4 linked regions of the Yarrowia lipolytica genome follow. The protein of the gene in region 3 purifies or fractionates together with the protein of the main gene of each other region. This does not show direct contact. Links are inferred from orthologs where the notes say so. Each region holds a gene or a part of one and is shown on either strand. Other genes may lie near its edges.

Region 1 (4,047 bases), on a different chromosome or scaffold from region 3:
TGGGCATGTTGGGAGCCACCTGGGCTATTGGAGGAGCCATTGGGCCGTTGATTGGAGGAGCTCTAACCCAAAATGTCAGTTGGCGGTGGTGTTTCTACCTGAACCTACCTATTGCCGGCTTCACCATGTGCATGCTATTCCTTCTACTGAAGAACAACAAGGGTTTGGAGTACGAGAATGATACTCGAACTGTGTGGCAGAAGCTCTTAAAGATTGACTTCTGTGGTATCATTCTTGTTGCTGGAGCCACTGTTTTACTTCTTCTGGCCCTTGATTGGGGAGGAACTACCCACCCTTGGGGGTCAGGCATCATTATCGCCTTTCTGGTGGTTGCCTTCGTGCTCTACGGCATCTTTCTTACTCTGGAGTGGTTTCAGGACCAACGGGAAAACTACCCTCGACCAATCATGCCTCCCAGCTTGTTTGCCAACAAGACCCGACTTGGAGGCTACCTCTTTACCTTCTTCCACTCCATTGTTTTCATGTGCATTTCTTACTTCATGCCCTTCATGTACCAGTCCGTCTACGGCAAGAGCCCCATGGGTTCGGCAGTCTACTTGCTTCCACAGGCCTTTGTCACCGGTGGACTATCTGCTGGAGCAGGTATCTTCATTGCAAAAACGGGCCATTATCTGCCTGTCATGTGGATCTCCAGTGTTATTATCATCGTCTTTACTGGAATGCTGAGCACTCTGGACGAGACCTCCAACGTTGGCAAGCGAATCTGTTACGTAATGGCTTGGGGTGCTGGTATTGGACCTGTTTTCCAGGCACCTCTAGTGGTCATTCACACCCAGGTTGAACGTAAGAACATTGCCATTAGTACCACAACCTGGAGTTTTGTGCGTATGCTGGGCATGTCCATTGGTATTTCCATTGGAGGTGTGGTGTTCCAGAACCAGATGGAGGACCAGATCAGTGACCCGGCCATCATCCGGCAGCTTCCCGAGTGGCTCCTGGAACCTCTGTCGGGAACCAATGCTGCTGCTGCTACCCAGATGCTCAACAATAAAGGGTCAGATATCAGTGCCCATGTGCTCAGTCTGGTGCGATACATGTACTCGCATGCATTCAAGTACGTCTTTTACACCTGTCTGGGTCTCTGTGGAGGTTTGTTGAGTGTGTTGTTGATTGGTAAGCACCAGGTCAAGATGAGAGGCGATCTGGGCAAGAAGGAAAAGCAGGAAAAGAGAGAAGCCGAGAACCGGGCGCTGTCAGAACAGCCGGGAGAATCAGTTTAAAATTAATGAATAATGACTAATGACTATAAAACGGAATATATCTGTACGGGTACTTAGGTGAATAATCAGATATGGCGAGGCATGCACTGCTGCTACTTACAGTACACTATGTACAGGGGTCTGTGAAAGCAGAATATATAAAGAAGGATTTTTGAACGAAATAGGCAACATCATGTTAAAGTAGCTACCGTACTACTTGTACTACACAATTAGGAATGTCTCAATATGAGCCATTTTAACCAATGTCTACTTGTTCACACGTTGATGAATCTAATTGAACACAGTAAGGATCATGACCAGCATAGAAGACCCAGCATGAGACACAGACGCGATTAGCACACATAATGCAAAGGGGAGCGTCCGACCAGTTACAAATCAATTTTAATATTATAGTACAACATACGAATTTTTGCTCTAGACACTGTTTGATGCTACATGCCCTTCTGAGGACCCACTTTGACTCGCTGCTTATGTAACTTCCCAACACTAAACAAACTTCGTCCATGGCGTTTTTGATCAACTAAGCGTATACTCACGACATACTGCCAAATCCCACACACCCACACACTACAGACACGCTATGGTGGAACAATACGGAATCACGGAGCCGATTTCCACGGCGCCCCCGACGCCCGAGGAGATTGCGCTCAACGGTGAGCTCATTGAGGAGCTTAAGCGACAAGGATCATTCGAGAGCGAGGCCGAGTCCAACAAACGGAAAAAAGTGCTGTTGATCATGCAGCAGTTGGCCCAGGAGTACGTGCGACAAGTGAGTCTCAAGAAGAACTTTTCGGATGGCATGGCCCGTGATGCCGGAGGCAAAATCTTCACGTTTGGATCTTACTCTCTGGGAGTCCATGGTCCGGGATCTGATATCGATACGCTGATTGTGGTCCCCAAACATGTGACTCGAGAAGACTTCTTTGAGGTGTTCGAACGTCTTCTCCGAGAACGGCCCGAGTTGGAGGAGATCTCTGCCGTACCCGACGCCTTTGTTCCCATCATCAAGGTCAAGTTCATGGGTATCTCCATCGATTTGATTTCGGCCCGTCTCGACATCCCCAAAGTGCCACTAGACCTGACGTTGGAAGACGACAACCTGCTGCGAAACGTGGACGACAAGGATCTGCGAGCTCTCAACGGTACGCGAGTGACCGACGACATTCTCCGTCTGGTTCCCAACAAGACGGTGTTCAAGCATGCCCTACGAGTTATCAAAATCTGGGCACAAAACCGAGCGGTATACGGAAACATCATGGGTTTCCCTGGAGGAGTACAGTGGGGAATTCTGGTGGCCCGAGTGTGTCAATTATATCCCAACGCCGTGGCTGCAGTGATTTTGTCGCGATTCTTCAACGTGCTTTTAAGATGGAGATGGCCCCAGCCAGTACTCCTCAAGAAGATTGAGGATGGCCCATTACAGGCGCGAGTGTGGAACCCCCGAATCTACTCGCAGGACAAATTGCACAGGATGCCCATCATCACACCTGCCTACCCTTCCATGTGCGCCACCCACAATATCACCGCCAGTACACAAAAGGTCATTTTGCGAGAACTTGAGAGAGGAGGCCAGATTCTCAACGAAATTATGCTGGGCCAGAAGCCGTGGTCGGCACTGTTTGAAAAGCACCATTTCTTCTCGGACTACAAATACTATTTATCGATTGTGGCGGCTAGCAAGGGCACGGCGGAACAGCAGCTCAAGTGGAGCGGTTTTGTCGAATCCAAATTACGACATCTTGTGCAGAAGCTCGAACTGCTGGACTCTATCGAGCTGGCCCATCCTTACGTGAAAACGTTCGACAAAGAGCATTTGTGCAACAGTGATGAAGAGGCTCTCAAGGTGGCAGACGGCCAGAACGTGGCAGCAGTGACTCTGTCGACTGACTTGGAGAAGGCTGTGGCCGACGAGGTTGGCGATGAGAAGTCAAAGGACGAGGCTGATCGAAAAGACAAGATCATTGTGTACACTACCACATTTTACATAGGCTTGGACATCAAGCTGGAGACCAAAGAAGGAGGCAAACGAAGATTGGACATCCTGGCACCCTGTCAAGAATTTTATAGAACTTGTCGAAGCTTCACCGACTACAACGAAGATATGCACAGCATCTTCATTGATTCTGTCAAAGCGTGAGTATACCACTAACCCCAAAACAGCTACCAAAACCCAACTAACACAGATACGATCTCCCTGAAGACGTGTTCAGACCTGACGAGACGCGACCAGAGAAACCTAGAAAGAAGAGAAAGAGAAAGGAGGCCCCCAAGGAGGGAGTCAAACCTGTTCCTGCGGAGTAGGCGTATTATACATATCCATAGGGTCAAAATACATTATAACGACAGCAGTAGAAATGAAAAACAACTATATAAAAGAATAAATTGATCGTGTTACATTTCAGTTGTGAGTGGTATTAACGGTTAATATACATTTAATACATTTTATACAGTTTATAGGTGAATCTACTTCTTTCGCTTAGCATCACCAGAGGGAGCGTCAGAAGCCCGCTTTTTTGTGAGAATGTCGTCAGTAACGTATGTGGTAGTCTCGGGTAGTCGCTTGACAATGTTATCAAGGATTTCCAGCTCTCCTTCAAGCACGATTGACGCCATCTTGTGCTTGTGGGTCTTGTCAGACTTCTCACCGTAGGTCTTTTTCTTGGACTCGACGAGTTCCGTCAGGGACTTGACAGCATCGTCGATGAGGAGACCCTGGTTGGACTTCTTCCACAACTGCTTGACGACCTGCTTTCGCAGGGACTTGTCCTGCTTGAGCTTGGACAACAGAGAGGTGTCCTTGGTGATG
Region 2 (6,158 bases), on a different chromosome or scaffold from region 3:
TAGCTTATCGCAGATTTTCAATCAGCTTGATCATATACAGTATACGTATTGGATAGCTTTGACGGGGAATAGGGATAAGGTCTGTTTGTATGGAATGCGTTTTTCACAGTATGTACTATACAGTAGCCTCCTATCTGTTTGCCTTACGTTCTAATGTTCTCTTTCCCGGGGGTACCCAGCGAAGTATAGATCTGGAGGGCGATGCTCTGTTCCACCAGATCGGCAACTCGGCAGTGTAAAGCCACGTTGGGGAAGTACTGTAGCATGTTCTACGTTGTTGGGTATGCTTATGACCAACAGTCTACATACGGTCCATGGTGCCCGCTGGTATATCTCTACAACTGAAAAGAGTGGGGTGTTCTGTTCTCACTTAGGATGGTGCTATTTGTCGACAGCTGCTTAGCCTGGCAACTGGTATGTACTGTAGCTACAATACTGTAACTACAACTTATCTAAAAATACACTAATATTAAAATATACATTATTGTGTCATTGACAGACTCAAATACATTTCTTGAACAGGTCAGAGATGAGCTCAAGGTCCTTCCAGATCAACTGCTGATATCGCTGACCCAGACGGTTAGCATACACGTTCTGCTTGTTTCGGGGCAGGTTAGCAAATCGAATCAAGGTGTGGCCATCAAGAATAGGTCTGTGGGGACTGTTTCCAGTGCCAGGCAAGATGGGATCGTACCTGTAGGCTCTAGGATGTAACCCACAGACGTGGGCTTCCTTGTCGGTGATCTGAGTCTGGATGGCATAGAGACGTCTGTAGGCATCTTCAGGGCAAGGGACGACGTCAGTCACTGATCCATCACTGCACACACCAATCACCATGAATCGATCCTCGTTTATGGGTACCATGGCCGAGGAATCGATCACCTTTCCAGAGTAGAATACAGAACGTCTCAGGAGACGGGCTCCAGAGTACGACTGAGGGTCATCGGGGTCGTACTCGAGGATGTGCAGTCGTTTCTGGAGATCAGCCACAACAAATGTCAGGTTCTCACCCTCGATAGCAAAGTCACAGGTGGTAACCAACACCCTCTGCAGGTCACGGGCGAACGGGATCATCTGGTACGGGTCCATGGAGAACCCGACAAACTGGACAGATCGGGTGGCATCACCGAGCAGAAGCATGGAGTTCAGACTCTTGGCAACGGCCACGTAAGTCTGCATATCGAGGAAAGCAACAGGAACGAGGGTAAGGTCATCCTGAAGAGCCTGTACAAGCAGCTTCTGGCCCTGGACAGCTAGAAGACGACCAGATACCTCGCAGACAGCAGTGAAGGCCCCACGGACACGGTCCTGAACCAGCTTCTTGAGTCGTCTATTGGTCTCGGGTCGTTCCTTCTCAGGAACAATCTCAATGACATCAAAGAGGTACAGAGCACCTCGAGCAGCGAGATCCTCACCTCTAAGAATGGAGGTTCCGACAGCCACCACCTCCCGCTTTTGTGACTTTCTATCAGAGATGGACAACTTGACAGACTCGCAACAGAGGGCCGCTTCAGCGGGCATCTCGAACTCATAGGAGTCAATGACAGTCCACGAATAAGGGTTGACGATGCGAATGGCACCCTGATAGGTAGTGGCAGGCATGATGTCTGGTGTAAGACTCTCGATCACCTCGTCGTCTTCATCACGGACAACATGGGGAACTGTCTTGTGAGTAGCAATGACATAAACGTCCATGGTCTCGTGATATGTGACTTTGGAAATGGTCTCTCCGCAGAGCTGGACATGCTTCACGGGCCAATTGGTCTCGAGAGAAAAGCTAGGGTCGAATCTGCACTCGGCCACCTCTCCCGCTTGCGTCAAGTAAGCAAATTTTCCGTCCCAGGAAGTGAAAGCAACTGCGCCCTTAGTCTCACCGAACTCGATTAGTCGCGGAGAAGTATGCAAAGTCTTGACTAAGATGTACGCGGTTTCACCAGTCACTCCAAGTGTGTGTTTTCCGTTAATAAGAGGGACTTGGGTAAGTCGTCTATCGGAGTTGATTGTAGGGGTTCGCTCAAGGAAGATCTTTCGGAACCTCAGCTTGTCATTGTAGTGATAAGGCTCATAAACGACAAGCTGCTGAGGAGTGAGGAGAACCAGGTAGTCCCGAAGAATATGATCGTCTCCAAGGGGACTCAATGCGATGTCCACAAGTTCAAGAGGGGCATCATAGAGCTGACCGTCCTTCTCTTTGATGAAGCCAGACAGATCAGAAGCATCTAGAATGAGACGATCGTCGGAATTCAGACCTTGGAGCAGAAGAGACCCATCCGCGTAGCACACAACAACAACAGGTCGCGAGTCTTGAGCGGGAGATCCCTGGCGTGTACGTTTCTTGCTTGGTGCACCGAAAGTAAGGGAGGAGTCAGTGGCGTAGATACCGATGGCCTTGGACTCACTGGCAGGCTCGATAGAGACCTGCGCAGCCTTCAAGAATGGTCTCTTGTTGATGCTCACGGCCTCCAATATCTTCACCTGGCCATCAGACAGCAACACAAGCACGTAGTTGCCCAGTACACGAGCCTCCACGGCTGTAGTACCTTGGGGCAGGGAGTATTTGTGGGGCTGTCCGATCTTGGCGTCGTAAATGTTGACAGTTTCCAAACAGACCTGGAGGAGCGCCGAATCCAGCATTGAAGAAGAAAAGATTGTGGTGACATTCGAAACAAAATGCTTCTTGGTCTTCTTCTTCTTGGTACTGAGAGAAACGTCTTCAATAACCCCAGCGGCATCAACATAGTACAGATATGAGTTCTCACTGTCAGACGAGACAACATAAGTTCGAGATTTGGCAACCTCCCCTTCCTCCTCAAAACGCACGGGTACTGACCAGAACTGGCCTCCCGGCATGTCCTTATACAAGGACTTGCGTTTGTATGGCATCAGTGCGCTTGTGAGAATGGCCAGAGCAGAGTTTGCACCGACACCTGTAGTAGTGACAAACTCAACACCTTGACTGCCTCTATTCTTGCCCAAAGCCAGCGATTGCATGGGTCCCATACCAAGCATGCGGTCGGCCAGACGTAGCTTCAATGGACGATTGGTAGTGTCCTCTGTTTGAGCTGTGTCACCGCCATAAAGATCATCGTCAGACTCGTTTCCGTCATCTAGAGTCTCCTCGGGCTGACTTTCTGGCTCACCATGGTACCACTTGACTAAGAGCGAATCTCCAGCTCGAGATCCAAGGAAAATAGTTCCATCAGGCCCAGCTGCAACAGAGGAAGGCTGGGATAGGATGAAGTTGTCTGGCTCAATAGGTCGCAGTTCGAGACTAGCCACACGTCTACCATCCTTGTTGAACAGCAGACTGAAAAACTGGCCATCTTCTGTCACCAAGAGGGCGGTATTGCCCAACTCCTGGATGAAGCAGACCTCAGCACCTTCCAGTCGCAGGTCAAGAGTCGACTGGTCCCTCGATACGATGAGATCAGAGTTTTGTCGATGTGTGTTGTTGACCATGACACCTGTGTAACTAGCCGAGGAGTCGATGTAGAGAATGGTGTTGGCGCAGATGATAAGTGAGCCACCAAGAGGAGCAGGCAGAGGAATGACCTTCTGGGCATCCACTGGCAGGCCATTCAAGGTACCAATTACGGTGGAGTTCTTCTGATGGACGTCGACACTGACGATAGCGTAGCTCACCGTGTCCTTGAGAATATTCTTCATACCCACCCATGCTCTCTTGGGCTGAAAAAGGATACCCATTGTCGTTTCTCGGTACTCGTGAAGGAAGCAGATATCCATCACGTTCTCGATACGTTTATCGAGCCTCGATGCCTTAACAATGAAGGAGGGATCAAATACCTGGCCACTTTCTGGCATCTCATCGTCATCAAGACCCTTCTCGATAATAGGCAGAAACGCCATTCGATCATTCTGGAACAGCAGACAGGTGTAGAACGAGTTCGCCTCATCTGATACAGCAACAGACGAGCACTCGGGCTCGAAGAAGTTGCTCTCGACCAAGCCTTTTTCGTAGTAATGCAGCGATTTGGTGTCGATGGTGAAACTGCTAGCATTCCATGCAACAATCACGGCCTTGGCATGCTTGACAGAGATGTAGAGCGAATCCAAATCGTAGTTGTCGATTGTCTTTATTCGGGTCACGCCCGTGACGGTTCCATCGAGGTAGTATTCGGTGATGAGCTCGAGTCGAGGAGCTTCATCCTTGGTAGGGATGTCGTCCTTGTATCGGAAGATCTGGAGCAGCTGCGAGCCCTTGACTAGCACCAGGTTCCTCTCGCCGGTGAAGTTGCACGACAGACTGTGAGTGACGGCGGTCGGCTCTGTCAGATTCTTGAAAATGTGCATGTCGTGCTACTGTGAGACAGTATATCCTGTAGTTCCAGATCGTGATGATTTCTTGGACTTTCAGAACCTTAAGTTTGGGAGTTCGGACGGGATGGTTGAAAGAGGTGTGACGAATATTGAGGGGATGTGTGATGTAAGGGCAATAGTTTTGAAACGAAAAGGCATTTAAGAGAACTTCTGGATATTGAGTCGTGACTGGATGAGCCCTGTGTCCAGATGTTCCTTACGAATCGCACAGTGTTACTTACATTAGTTGAAATATGGAGCGGGTGGGTCGGGCAGTATTACGGCTACCGAGGTGGAGTGGGCCTATTTGACAGAACAGTATTTACTAAAGTCACTTGTTTTAGTGCAAGCTACCAAGCCGGGTATCCATCTCTACTGTGGCCCAGCATCACACCTATCGCCTCTTAATTACAAGCACTTTCCAACATGCATAACGAGGTAAATACTTGCAAGTTCAACATCAACCGCCACACTTTGCTAGATCATGCAACTCCCACCCGAACTGATTACACTAGTGGCGACTTTTCTCGACTTCAAGGACCTGTCTCGATTAACATGTGTCAACAAACACCTCTATGAACTGCTGGCAACTGACATCTGGAAAGACGTCTACTACTCTGCAGGCTACGTTCCCCCTCTACTAACATGTGCGCCCCTGATCCAGCATGTTCATTTCGACTCAGCAGTCACAACGATGTTCTTCAACCGAAAAAACTTCCCAGCAATCAAACAATTTTCTGTATCGTACTACGAGGATATAACTCCGTGGATAGGGTTGCCTGTGGGCACTGTGTTTCGCAACTGGAGGCGGGATCTGTATCAGCAGTTCTACCCCCAGCTAGCCGAGTATCTCAAGGCCCACGAAGTTACTCTTGCCAGCCTTTTGCTCTACGACCAGTCCTTTCTCTACTACTTCATTGAGGCAGACAGTTGTCACAAAATCGAGAGGTTACGATTCGACACCAACTTCACCGACACAGTTCTGTACCATGACAAGGTGTACCCTCCGATATTGCGACTAGCAATTGTTGAGAAGTTCATTCGCGCTGTAGAAGCTGCAGGGTGCAGACCTCCCTTTGATCGTGATCAAGGCAGCTTGTCATTTTGGAACCAGATTGAGGACATTGAGAGAGGTCCTGATGGTCCCATCATGCCACCGCTTCCAGCTGATTTTGGAGACTTGTCTGGTGAACGGACTTAATCGAGATCTACTGACCAATCGAATCGTTGTCGTGCATTGTCATTATATAAAGATGGTGAAGATTTACTCGTCTTTCACGACAGGCTTGGGAATGGGCTTTCGAAGGACATTTCCGACCTCGTTGAGCACATAGCTGGCCAGGAAAAGAACAGGGATGTGCAGAGGATTTCCAGCAGCCCATGTAAACTTGGTGCCTCCAAGGTTGAGCTGACCATAGACCACTGCCAGGAAGGCTACTCGCAGAACGGTCCAGGGAAGTCGACCAATGTAAGACGAGTTGGCGGGGGACCCGGGAGTGAACTGACACTGGTACTGGTTGCCAATTGAGATGAACAGAGATGCAACTGTGGCAGCAAGCCAAGTCTTGTTAGAAGTAGGCACCCGGGTACACATGAGATACGAGGCGTAAGCAGAGGCCAAAGTGCCCAGGCCGCCGACAATGGAGAACTGGACACCCTCGTCACCCTGGACGTTGAGGGTAGTTTCGTTGAGGTGATTGAGGATGAAGGACATGGTGTGCTAATCGATAGAAGATGAGATGAGCACAGTTGGAGATGATGTTTGAAGTCCTTTAGAGTTGTATCGTAGTCCAATTTCTGCATGTGAATATGCACCCCACAGAGACGTTTGAGTGCGAGTG
Region 3 (4,614 bases):
ATGCATGAGATAGCGACTGGAAACGCCGCCCGGTGCGTCGATAGCTCCGCTAAACGTCGGAGACGGCTCTTGTGCCGAAAAGACACACATTTACACTCTCTTTTGGATCACGGCCAAAACTGACTCCAAAAGAGACGGCTTCTTTTACACCCTGAAGGGCTAAAGAGCGCGTGTTAAACACTCACAGCAGCAACCTTCACCGGCCGCGGTTCGTGTGTCTTACAAAGTCTTCGCTGTCTTACGGGATGGCGTGGTAGATTGCTTTAAGGAGAAATGTGGCGATGCTGACTGAGGACTATTGTCTTAGTTGCAATTGATGCCACATTAAACTACTGTTATCCATCAATATGGTACTTACTCTACAATACATTGACAATTATATGCCTACCCCTCGCTCCCTCATACAACCATATAACAATCCAGACATTGTTTGCTGAAGCACAAGACTCGAGTTCTTCAGTCCCCCTCCTTTTGCTCTTTGTGGGTCCTTGTGCTCACCAGCATCCACCCGCTAAAGAAGTCCGTCCGGAATTCTCACGTCCCTAAACAAATCCACCAGCCGCTGAGGATCAAACGTAGCCTCTCCATAGTCAGAAGAGTTGGGAAGCTGCCTTAGCAAAGCATCAATCTTCTGAGGCAGGTTGAAAGGTTCCATCTTGTCGCCCTGGTCGTTTCCGTGAGAGGTTCGGCGAGCTCTCTTGCTGGGCCGCTCCGAGTCAGAATCTTCGTCGGTTCGCGACTTGGGCTTTTGCAGCATGTCGCATTGTCGAATGACATCAAAGTCCGAGGTAGCGAACCGGTCGGCAATGATGGTGATGGGCGACGTGTCGGGGTTGAGCTGCCGCAGACGGTCCTGCAGCTTGACCACACTGGTGATCTCGCCAAAGTCAGACTCAAACTTGATCATCGACTTGATGAGCGAAGCAGCGTCCGACGGACCTAGAAGAGGAATGGTTTTCTCAAACAGAGCCCGTGCGTTGGTGTCGTCGTGCAGAGAAATGAGAAAGTCGAGATAATGCTGAACGTAGGCTGCATTGGAACCGCAGTACTTGAGACCAAGCTCAAACACGTTGGTGGCAACCGTGGGGTTCTTGTTGTGGTGAAACTCCATCAGCGCAGACGCGACGTAAATGTGGTAGGTGGCAAACCCAGTGTTTCTGGCCTTTTTGAACACCATTCGGCCTGGCTTGATACCCTCAAACCGTTTCACGGCCTTCATGCACACCGAGTACGCAATGGAGATCTGGGTGTTGAGCTTGATGATCTCAGCAGTAGGCTCGGCCTCCGGATCGCCCTGAGCTTCAATTAGAGCCTGTCTCTCCTTGCCCAGAGACTCAATATGCTCATCGTAAATGGTTCGCATCTTTTCAGCATCGGCTTCCCGCTCGTAGTACTCGGCGAGCCGGAAAGCCAGCAGCGATGAGTTGGGGTTGAGAGAGAGGCCATCCTTGAGAAACTGCAGAGCCTCGGTCTTGAGCAGAGGGTCGTCAAAACAGTACTCAGCAGCCAGAAACCAAATCTCGGGCACAAACTGCAAGCTCATAACGGCCTGTTTGAGGCAGTACAGCAGCCGCTTGTTGGTTTCGGCCTTGTTGTCGGTACCCAGAGGGTTGCTCTTCTCCCAGTCGATCCATTTCTTCCAAGCTCGCACCTGGAACTCGTCTCTGGGCCCGGACTTGGGCACACTGCTTCGGTCCAGACCCCGCATCAGGTTCTCCAGCACCGTCTGGCACTGTCGGGCGTTTTGGCAGCTGCCAGACTTTTCATTGATGAACTTTCGAGCTGTGGCCTTGTTGAGCGAGTACTCAAAGTTGGTGTAGGCGGTCCACAGAATCGACAGGTTGTTGAGCGGGATGCCAATCGCCTTTCGGTATATTTTGCGCGTGAGGTCATTCTTCTGCTGCTCCTCCCAGGTAGTTGTAGCCGGCTTGGATTTGATGAAGTCCAGGTACTCAAACCACACATTGCCACTCTCTCGATCAATGCCGACATGGTCAAGGTAAAACTCAAAGGCCTTGATGATGTTTGTTCGGGCTTCAGTGATTTTGTCCGACTCGGAAGACAGCACGTTGACTCGCCGCACATAAGTCAGGTAGATGTTCCACAGCTTGAGGTTGGGCAGGCGGGTCAGACACCGCCCAAACAGCTGCTCCAGGCGCTTGAACTCGCCATTGTCCATTTCCAGCGTGATGTACTCGATCCAAATCTCGGCCGACAGCGGGTACAGAGCCAGAAACCGCTCGTAAATGTCCCGCGACTCGTCCAGCTTCTCCTTGCGCACAATCGTCGAAATCAGATCCAGCCACGCAGGCATGTCTCGGGGGTTGGCGGCGATGCGGTCCTCAAGAATGCCGATTGTGTCTGTGGCCAGTCGTTTTCGCTTGTTGTTATCTGGGCCGCTGTTGTTGTTGTTGCTGGTGGAGCTGGCTCCTCCTCCCACTTGGTTGGGGTCGCTGGGAGGGGGGATGGTAGTGCTTGCAGCCAAAGAACTGATAGCTCCATCAGGGATTCCGGTTCCTCCAACCGACCCTCCTCCAGCCGAGTCCTCCTCCACAGGCTCACTCACCGCTGCAGGCACATAGTCGTCATCTTCCGCGACTTCTTCAGACGAGTTCTCAGGCTTGGGTTCTTCCCTTTTCTCATCATCCCTCTGCTCCCCATCCTTGGGCTCGTCTAACACTCCTCCATCGCTCTTTGTGTCTGGTCCATCCTCCACCTTGTCCTCCTTGTCAATCGATTCAGGTTCGTCGCCCTGGTGCACCAGGGTCCCCGACTCGACGTTTGCGTTTGTATCTTCACCACTTTCTTCATTATGTGCCGGGTCCTTGGCAGCAGCCTCGGCCTCGAGCGCCAGCGGCTCGCCAGTGTTCATATCCGTCTCCATGTCGCCCGGCTTGAACGCCACGGCCGTAGGATCGTAATCGTCAGACATGTTGAGGAGTGACAGGGTCTGAAAAGTGCTGCAAGTAGTGTATGCGGATTTAGGTTGGTGGTTGTGTGTGGCGGCGGTGAAAAATGGGAGGTGGCATTAACGAGCGTTTGCTGGTGGTATAAGGCTGATTAGGGGCCATGGATTCTGTTTTTGGGGCTATTAGAATACAACTGGCACTTTCAGCTAATCAATCGGATAACTATAGACCGAGTTGGATCGAGTCTCTGGAACGTTGCTATCCCTTGTAAACACCTAACAAACCCCCCAAAGTTAGTTGAAACTCCCAAGTAATAGCTGCGACTCCAGAACCCCTTCGATCGGGGACTTTCGGTGAGTGCTGGAAGGTGAAAAAGCATCCCCTCCATTTATGAGAGCTGCCTATGCGTATGAGAAAAAAATGGTTTTAATAAGTGTCATTTCAACCAGTTAAATCGCATATTTGAACAAGTACCATCTCCACTGCCCTCCATGGGGAGCCCGCCCCCCGCATCTCCCCAGTCACGGTCTCCATTGCACTAGAAGCGACCAACCAGTCTTCTAAAACACTACTTTATGCACAAACCCTTGCCACCACGTCCCACTTATCCGTTCTTCCGAAGATATTTATTAATTTCATTATTCTGCCCCACCCCGAATCGAACACACGCATCCACCCACCCACCTCCTACGATATATGAAAAGTAGTACATGCTGTAGTCTTGACGGAGTCGACAGACCAGCGATAGACACAGATACAACCAGCTGACCATCGTCGGAACAGCTCCCTCGTTATTGATTCACCTCTTCATCCAACACAAACGCGCCTACACACTCACAAACCGAGTGTACTGTACTCACAAACTGGGTGATATGCTCATAACCTCTTAGAAAGAACAGTCTACAACCGCATTCTCATTCTCTCCCCGAAAATCATGTTCCGTCTGCACGTCTGGGGCCCCGTGTCCACCTCCCTGACCTTTTCCGCCCCCTGTCTCGCCACCATCTGGTACATGCAGCTATGTGATATCGACTTCACGGTAGTGCAGTCGTCCAATGAAGGTCTGGCGGGCGAGCTGCCGTGTCTGGAGACGTCGGAGAAAAAGATCGGAGGCGCCGAGTCCATCATTCGATACCTCAAGTCGCTGGGACACAACCTCGACGCCGATCTGACCTCGGACGAACAAATCAAAAACACAGCTCTCCTGGCCTACATGAGCAGTCTGCAGACAATCACAGAGTACTGTCTGTTTGTGGACGAAGAGGCGTACCAGAAGGTGACCCGGCCCATGTTCAACGAGTTCATGCCTTTCCTAATGCAATACAATGTCAGTGTACGACTTCGAGAACAGGCCAAGGACCGATGCTGTGCCGCTGGAATCGACACGGCGACGCCCTCGTGGGCTGTTTCGGCAACCAAGATGGCGTCCGAGTCTCTCACCAACCCCAAGCCCAGCATGGGTAAGCTCTACGATCAGTCTGTTGAGCGTGAAAAGCAGAAAGACGCCTCCAAGGCCGTTTCCAAGACGGTTTTCCGACTGCTCAACTCGGCCACAGAAATTTACACCGACATGATGGATACTGCCACAGCAAATGTCGCCAAAGGAAGTCTGTTCAGCACGGTTTCCACGTCAGATGTGTTTCTGTGTGCTCATCTGCAGCTTCAAATGCTGCCTGCGCTGCCTGACTGTGCTGTGGCCGGGTTG
Region 4 (5,864 bases), on a different chromosome or scaffold from region 3:
TCTCAAGCAGTGCCAATGACGGTATGACCTGAATTGGGGGCATCTGCATCTGCCTTAGGGGCGTATTTGACATTCGGGCTGCTGTTAAGCCAGTCGACCCGGTAACAAGAGTGGCGGGCAACGTGTAGATAGTGGTGGGGTTTTGATTAATGGTTCTTGTTTCTTTCACATCTCCTCTGGCTAAATATTGGTGGAAACCCTCAGGCAGACGGGGCTAAGACGACCTGCTTACACTCGTGACGACCTTGGAGAGGAGAGTTTTCAAAACGGAAACTTGCAGTGGGTTGGCCTAAGCGAGTTGTTTGCAGTAGTATCTATCACCTGGCTCCATCTTGCCAAATCCATATTACAATATGTTTAAAGACCCTACTTGGAGAGAATAATCGTGTGTCGCCGACATATTACCGCTATCTGTCGCTGGAGATCTTCTTTGGATTCATCTGTCTCTTTGTCAGTATTGTTCATAACTCCCCATCTTTCCACTACAGCTCCTCTAATACATTCTACAAGTTCATAACTCTTCATTATCTATTGCTCCTGCTTCACCTGTGCTTTGGGCTCCTCAGAAGCCTCCTCCTTCTTCACCTCCAACATCTTCCTCTCAACTCCTTCAACAACCAACGGTCTATACTTGCCCAGAACCTGCTTGAAACCGCCTCTCAGACTCTCATTCTCCTGGTAAACCTCCTCAATGACATCGAGACAGTAGTCTCGGGTAGGAGGACGCAGCATGATAAGATACTTGAGCGACCGAACACCAATAACCGACCGATCAGGGTCAATCAGAAGATGCTTGAGCTTACTAACCAGGCCGTAATCGAGCTCGGGAAGCTCGCCCACCAGTCTGATGAAATACTTCCAGTTGTCGGGATCAATGGTCTGAACAAGAGTGTCCATGATACGGGAAGCATACTCGTAGTAGACAGACGTGGCTGGAGTAACTTTACCGTACCGGATCAGCTCCGAGTACCATTCTTCGTTGAGCCAGGTCATGACGTCCTCGAAATTCGCTGTAAACGCCGTAGTGGCCATGTTCAACAGCTGGTTTCGAATGTGAGTGGAAAGTTGGACCTTGAGAGAGTCGGCAGGCTCGGTTTCGGGGTCATAAGCAAGACCACGGCTCAACAATCGACTCAAAATCACCATCCACGAACCGCCGGTCCATTCGTTGATAGCCAGCTTGGAAATGGCATTCTTCTGGATATCCAGCGACTTGGCTGTTGCCACCGCTACGTCCTTTTGTGTCAAAAACCGCGACACGATTTCGGTTCCGGCCGTAAGCTTTTCAGACTCTGAAAGGGGCTCGGGGGGTGGCAGTTGGAAAGTGACTGCTGAGTCGGTTTCGGTCTGTGAATAGTCGGAAGAAACTCGGGAGTCGAGCGAGGAATCACGTGAAACAGGAGAGTCGCGTGATTCCATGGAGACGTCGCGGGATCGAGAGCGGGAACCGGTGTTGTGCGACTGAGCCCGTCCGCGAGATCGGGAGTCGTCCCTCTCGTCGTCGTCGTCTTCACGGGACCCGGACCGGTAGTCTCGCGACTCGCTTCGTCTGTTCTGGATATCACGTGACTCAGATCTGGACTTCTTGGCCTCTTCCTTGGCCTTTTCTTGTTGTTGCCAATTGTCCCATCTTTGCTTCACCACTCCAACTCGACTTCTAAGAACCGCTTCGTCTACGCTCAGCAAACCGGTGAGCGCGATTTGAAGCGCCAGTTGCTGGGGTAACGTCCGGGCGTCGAAAGCCACCAACGGGTCGTTGGCAGGAATCAGAGTGAACAGAGCGCTATATGAGTCTGCATTGGGGGGCATGGTGGTGCTCATGGATACAGGAGTAGGTGTAGATGCATTGGTGGTCGGCTCCTCCGTCTTCTGGCGCTTGGTCACGTGATCGTCGACTGGGGCCGGTCGTTTTCGGCCCACCTCGGCCAGAAACCGTTCCATTCTGTGTCGCAGCTGCACGTGGATCTTGTTACGTAAGCAGTGGGTAACCAGCATTTTGAGCGACTTTTCGCAGAAGCGAACGGCGAGTTTGGAAGTGAATTTCGTCTCCATAGCCACCGGGTCCACCGCCAACACCGTTTGCAGAATTCTGTTGCCGTACTCGGGTCTTTGTTTGAGAATGGGGGCCAGAGCAAACACGGTTGCTGTGAAAATGGGTTCTGCGATTTTCTGGTTGTCATGTGACAAGTCGTCACCAGTGAGGTTGCCTAGGAGGCGGTCCAGACTACCCTGGCCCTCGGCCTCGAGTGATCTGTGGATGAGCGGGTGGTTAGGCGGCACCATGCTCATGTTGGCCTCGGCTGACGGCTTTGATCTGGCGGCCAGACGCGGGTCAGCAGGACCTGATTGGCCCCGTGACTGGACGAGCACGAGCTGCTGGGCAAATTTGATGCATGCTATTTCGACCGAGGGTGAAGGGTCGTTGCTCCAGATGGACGTGATCCGCTCTTTGAGGGAGGTCAGAGTGGACCATTCGGAGGAGAGTTTCGGGTTGAGGGAGACCGCGGAGAAGACCAGGGGGTAGATGAGGGCGGAAAGGAGAATAGGGGTTTTGGGCTGGGTTAGTGGGAAACGAAAGCAAAGGCCCGAGGACCGAGGACTAAGCGGACAACAGTAGGACGTAATACAACGAATACCAGAGTTTGAGCGGACAATCGGGAGTTGATGTCTCTAGAATAGTAATGTCTCTGGACAGCACCATATCTCTAGACAACATCAGTCTCGACAGCAACTCCTCTCTAGATAAGACATATGTCTAGAAGACATACATCAATCCTAGACAGCAGTAACAAAAACGGTGCAGTCAGAGGGACAATATCCATAGTTGCTCTGGAGGCAGAAACAACTGAAATAGACAACCAGAGCTACATGTCCAGCCAGAATTGACCAGAATCCACAGGAGTCAAGCAGTAGGAGGCACGCCTGTCCGAAAATTGGAGAGAAACACTGGATCTGTTGGCACTTCTGAAACGCTTCAATTCGCATATATAGCTAATGAAGCATTGTCAGTGATGCAAAGACGGTTCCACTGACTAAGTAGACAGACATTTTCTATAGCGAAAGACTGCGATGCGCTAGGCTAGATCGTCAACCGTCTGTCAGTGGGGAACGCAAAACGGCCAAAAACCTCCCCTGCCACGTCACATGACCTGATGCGTGTCTCTCCGTCTAGTTGCTATGTCATTTTTGTCCCAAACACATGTTCTTGTCCTTGACAGCATTGGGATGGTGGACCCAGAAAGATGCAATCAGTCGATGATGACTCCAGGAGCATACTGGGGGGCCACCAACACGGTCGCCGAAGTTCTACAATAATGGATAAGAGTCACGTGTGGAAAAGTGTGACGTCTGGATCTGTGTCGATACTGGTGTCGTTGAATCAGTCCACGTTGTCGAGAAAACAAACCCCGCAAGCTAAACGTTGAGTCGATCACGCAGTGGGTCGTCTGTCGGATCAACGTCCAACTCAGAGATAGTACAACGCCATAAACTAGACACAACGGCCATTACAGTTGACAATTGCGGTTTGCGTCGTTGTCACAAGAACAGTCATGTGACTTAAAAAATGCTGAGGGCAACCTCAGGCAGGTCAGGGTCACTTGATCTTGTCCAGTCCCTACAGTCACATAGTACTCACCTCTCCATTCAGCAACTTGTCCACCACCGTCAGCGCCTTGAGCGCCAGCTCGCGTCGTTTCTCCAGCGCCAATACCGACGCCAGCGCATCAAGCAGAAAGTCCGCCAGCCACTGTTGCAGCTCCTTCTCGGGACGAGAAGCCAGCTCCAGTAGAGACGGCACATACTGCTCGTATAGCGCGGCGTCCTTGGCGGCCATGTCTGCGACCTGGCCAAGACTCGCCAGCTGTTCTGTTAATGACATGGTGATCGAACACGGTTGACAAACGGTTGCAAAAGGATCGAAAAACGATCGAAAAACGATTGGCAAACGATTGACAAACGATTGGTACAATTACTGTCTTGTGTGTGGTGTCAAAGACAGTGTGCAGTGGGCGGGAGAAAGTTGAGTTGGGACTGGCAAACTTTATCTGGACTGTATTTCATGGGTGTGAGGTGAAACGGGGGGAGGGACCAAGAATGGGATTGGCGAGGAGAGAGATGAAACGGAGAATTGAAGGATGTTTATCATGGGATTTTGAAGGAATGTGATGTTTTGGGCGTCAATTTGGCCAAAATCGAAGACACTCTGGGGAAATAAAGCTGGGTGTTCTACATGAAGATTACAAGAGTTAATTGAAGAGAGCATATTGTACGAACTCTGGATGGTCAGAATGGTCAATACTGGCAGCGTCACTCTGAAGAGCTTTATACACTTGTACTGTATTAGAAATTCCAAGCTGATCTCAATGGTATTTTCAGATTTCTATTAGACCAAAAATTACCACAATTGGAGTGATCAGAGTGCAAGTATAATTTCGACGGTATGTACTCTTTTTATGTTTTATATTTTATATAGGATGTAGTGTACACAGTGTACTTAGACTGAAGAAAATTAAAGCACGAGGACGACTACAAGTAGTTGTAGCATCTTAGAACGAGAATATACAAGAAAAAAGGGAAGTGGAAAAGAAAGATTGTGTTCGAAATGCTTCCCGGAAGCTACCAATACAGTACTCATTAGCGTCTTTGCTTCACTCCCGCCAATAGCTATGTTGGATCGTTGAAGCAGAATGCGACTACAGTATGTAGGGTGGTGTACCAACCAGACAAGATGTACTCGCAGTATGTGGGAATGGTAACGGACAAAAAAGGAGCTGGAAAAAAAACAGAAACTGGACTTTATGGTATCAAAATGATCACAATGAACTCAGGAAACCAACTCCAGAGGTCACGTGAGTTAGAAGGCGAAGACCACACCCAATATTTCTCAGGTCCAGCTGCTGAGCGAAGGAAGTGGGAATACTGTAGCATAGATTCAATCAACTATGATTTATCATAAAACCCGCTATGTATTTTCCCCATAAGTTCCACTTTAAAAAAACACACTCTGTAAGCCCCAAAAATTTCACTTTTTTTCTTTTTTTTTCTTCCCCTTTTTAACGTCATTCTGACGAGCTAAGATCGAACATACACTGCCTGCCAACAAGAGATCAAAGGGTCCTTCCAGTCCACTAAGAAGTGTCCAGAAACAGACCAAATTTTGACAGAACAATAATATATCGCGGATATTAAAATTAATTTCCAATTTTCAGCCAATCAAACGACCCACATTTCGCTAACAGACCCCGCAGACGTAACAATATATACGAGTGTACAGTATATACTGTACTTGTACTTGAGGCATGTACAGTATCAGTTCCAGTAAACACGCCACAGTATGGGAGAAATTATGGGAGCTGATGAAAAGTGCAACACTGACACGAATAGCACAAAAAGGGGAAATACCTCCCTCAGAGAACCAATCTCCACTCACCTCCAATACCCAGCTACCATCTTCAAAAATGCATGTTTTACCCATACCTCCATTTCTGTCCCTGTTCTGGCCACACCAAAAAAGAGAACCTTCCCATCCATTAACTCTGGCATACAATCATCATTTCTGGTATTTTTTAGACCACACACAATCATGTCAATCAATATCCTTCGTGACCGGCCATAATTACTCTAATAACGTGATACCACCCGAAAATCCCACTCAGAGCCCCCCCTGATCTCCCCTGATCTCCCCTGATCCCACCAGATCAATCTCTCTATCCCTAACCCAAGCGCATGTAGTATGCACAAGGTCGCACTCGTCTTCTCTATTTGGCGATGTCAATGGGAAATGGAGAGAGCAGGAAACGGGGGCACAAACAAGTGACATAAACGCATGCACAAACGTATATAAACGAGCCTCCTGAACATGA

Evidence for each region.
Region 1: the proteins of YALI1_D23274g (region 3) and YALI1_F35714g purify together in Saccharomyces cerevisiae (affinity purification with mass spectrometry; 3 studies listed by BioGRID, with this or other methods). This does not show direct contact. The link is inferred for Yarrowia lipolytica from reciprocal best matches to the Saccharomyces cerevisiae genes RNA14 and PAP1.
Region 2: the proteins of YALI1_D23274g (region 3) and YALI1_E04790g purify together in Saccharomyces cerevisiae (affinity purification with mass spectrometry; 3 studies listed by BioGRID, with this or other methods). This does not show direct contact. The link is inferred for Yarrowia lipolytica from reciprocal best matches to the Saccharomyces cerevisiae genes RNA14 and CFT1.
Region 4: the proteins of YALI1_D23274g (region 3) and YALI1_F05781g purify together in Saccharomyces cerevisiae (affinity purification with mass spectrometry; 3 studies listed by BioGRID). This does not show direct contact. The link is inferred for Yarrowia lipolytica from reciprocal best matches to the Saccharomyces cerevisiae genes RNA14 and PTA1.

The regions. Positions count from the first base shown.
Region 1 is NC_090775.1:3,569,617-3,573,663, forward strand, and holds YALI1_F35714g (uncharacterized protein), read left to right. Parts: upstream 1-1,821; coding exon 1,822-3,374; intron 3,375-3,424; coding exon 3,425-3,542; downstream 3,543-4,047. Other genes in the region: YALI1_F35690g (uncharacterized protein), read left to right, coding at 1-1,241; YALI1_F35746g (uncharacterized protein), read right to left, coding at 3,705-4,047. UniProt on the Saccharomyces cerevisiae protein: Polymerase component of the cleavage and polyadenylation factor (CPF) complex, which plays a key role in polyadenylation-dependent pre-mRNA 3'-end formation and cooperates with cleavage factors including the CFIA complex and NAB4/CFIB.
Region 2 is NC_090774.1:474,748-480,905, forward strand, and holds YALI1_E04790g (uncharacterized protein), read right to left. Parts: upstream 4,312-6,158; coding exon 502-4,311; downstream 1-501. Other genes in the region: YALI1_E04795g (uncharacterized protein), read left to right, coding at 4,802-5,518; YALI1_E04807g (uncharacterized protein), read right to left, coding at 5,582-6,031. UniProt on the Saccharomyces cerevisiae protein: RNA-binding component of the cleavage and polyadenylation factor (CPF) complex, which plays a key role in polyadenylation-dependent pre-mRNA 3'-end formation and cooperates with cleavage factors including the CFIA complex and NAB4/CFIB.
Region 3 is NC_090773.1:2,325,747-2,330,360, reverse strand, and holds YALI1_D23274g (uncharacterized protein), read right to left. Parts: upstream 2,933-4,614; coding exon 512-2,932; downstream 1-511. Other genes in the region: YALI1_D23265g (uncharacterized protein), read left to right, coding at 3,844-4,614. UniProt on the Saccharomyces cerevisiae protein: Component of the cleavage factor IA (CFIA) complex, which is involved in the endonucleolytic cleavage during polyadenylation-dependent pre-mRNA 3'-end formation and cooperates with the cleavage factor NAB4/CFIB and the cleavage and polyadenylation factor (CPF) complex.
Region 4 is NC_090775.1:575,564-581,427, forward strand, and holds YALI1_F05781g (uncharacterized protein), read right to left. Parts: upstream 3,881-5,864; coding exon 3,639-3,880; intron 2,558-3,638; coding exon 529-2,557; downstream 1-528. UniProt on the Saccharomyces cerevisiae protein: Essential in pre-tRNA processing. Component of the cleavage and polyadenylation factor (CPF) complex, which plays a key role in polyadenylation-dependent pre-mRNA 3'-end formation and cooperates with cleavage factors including the CFIA complex and NAB4/CFIB.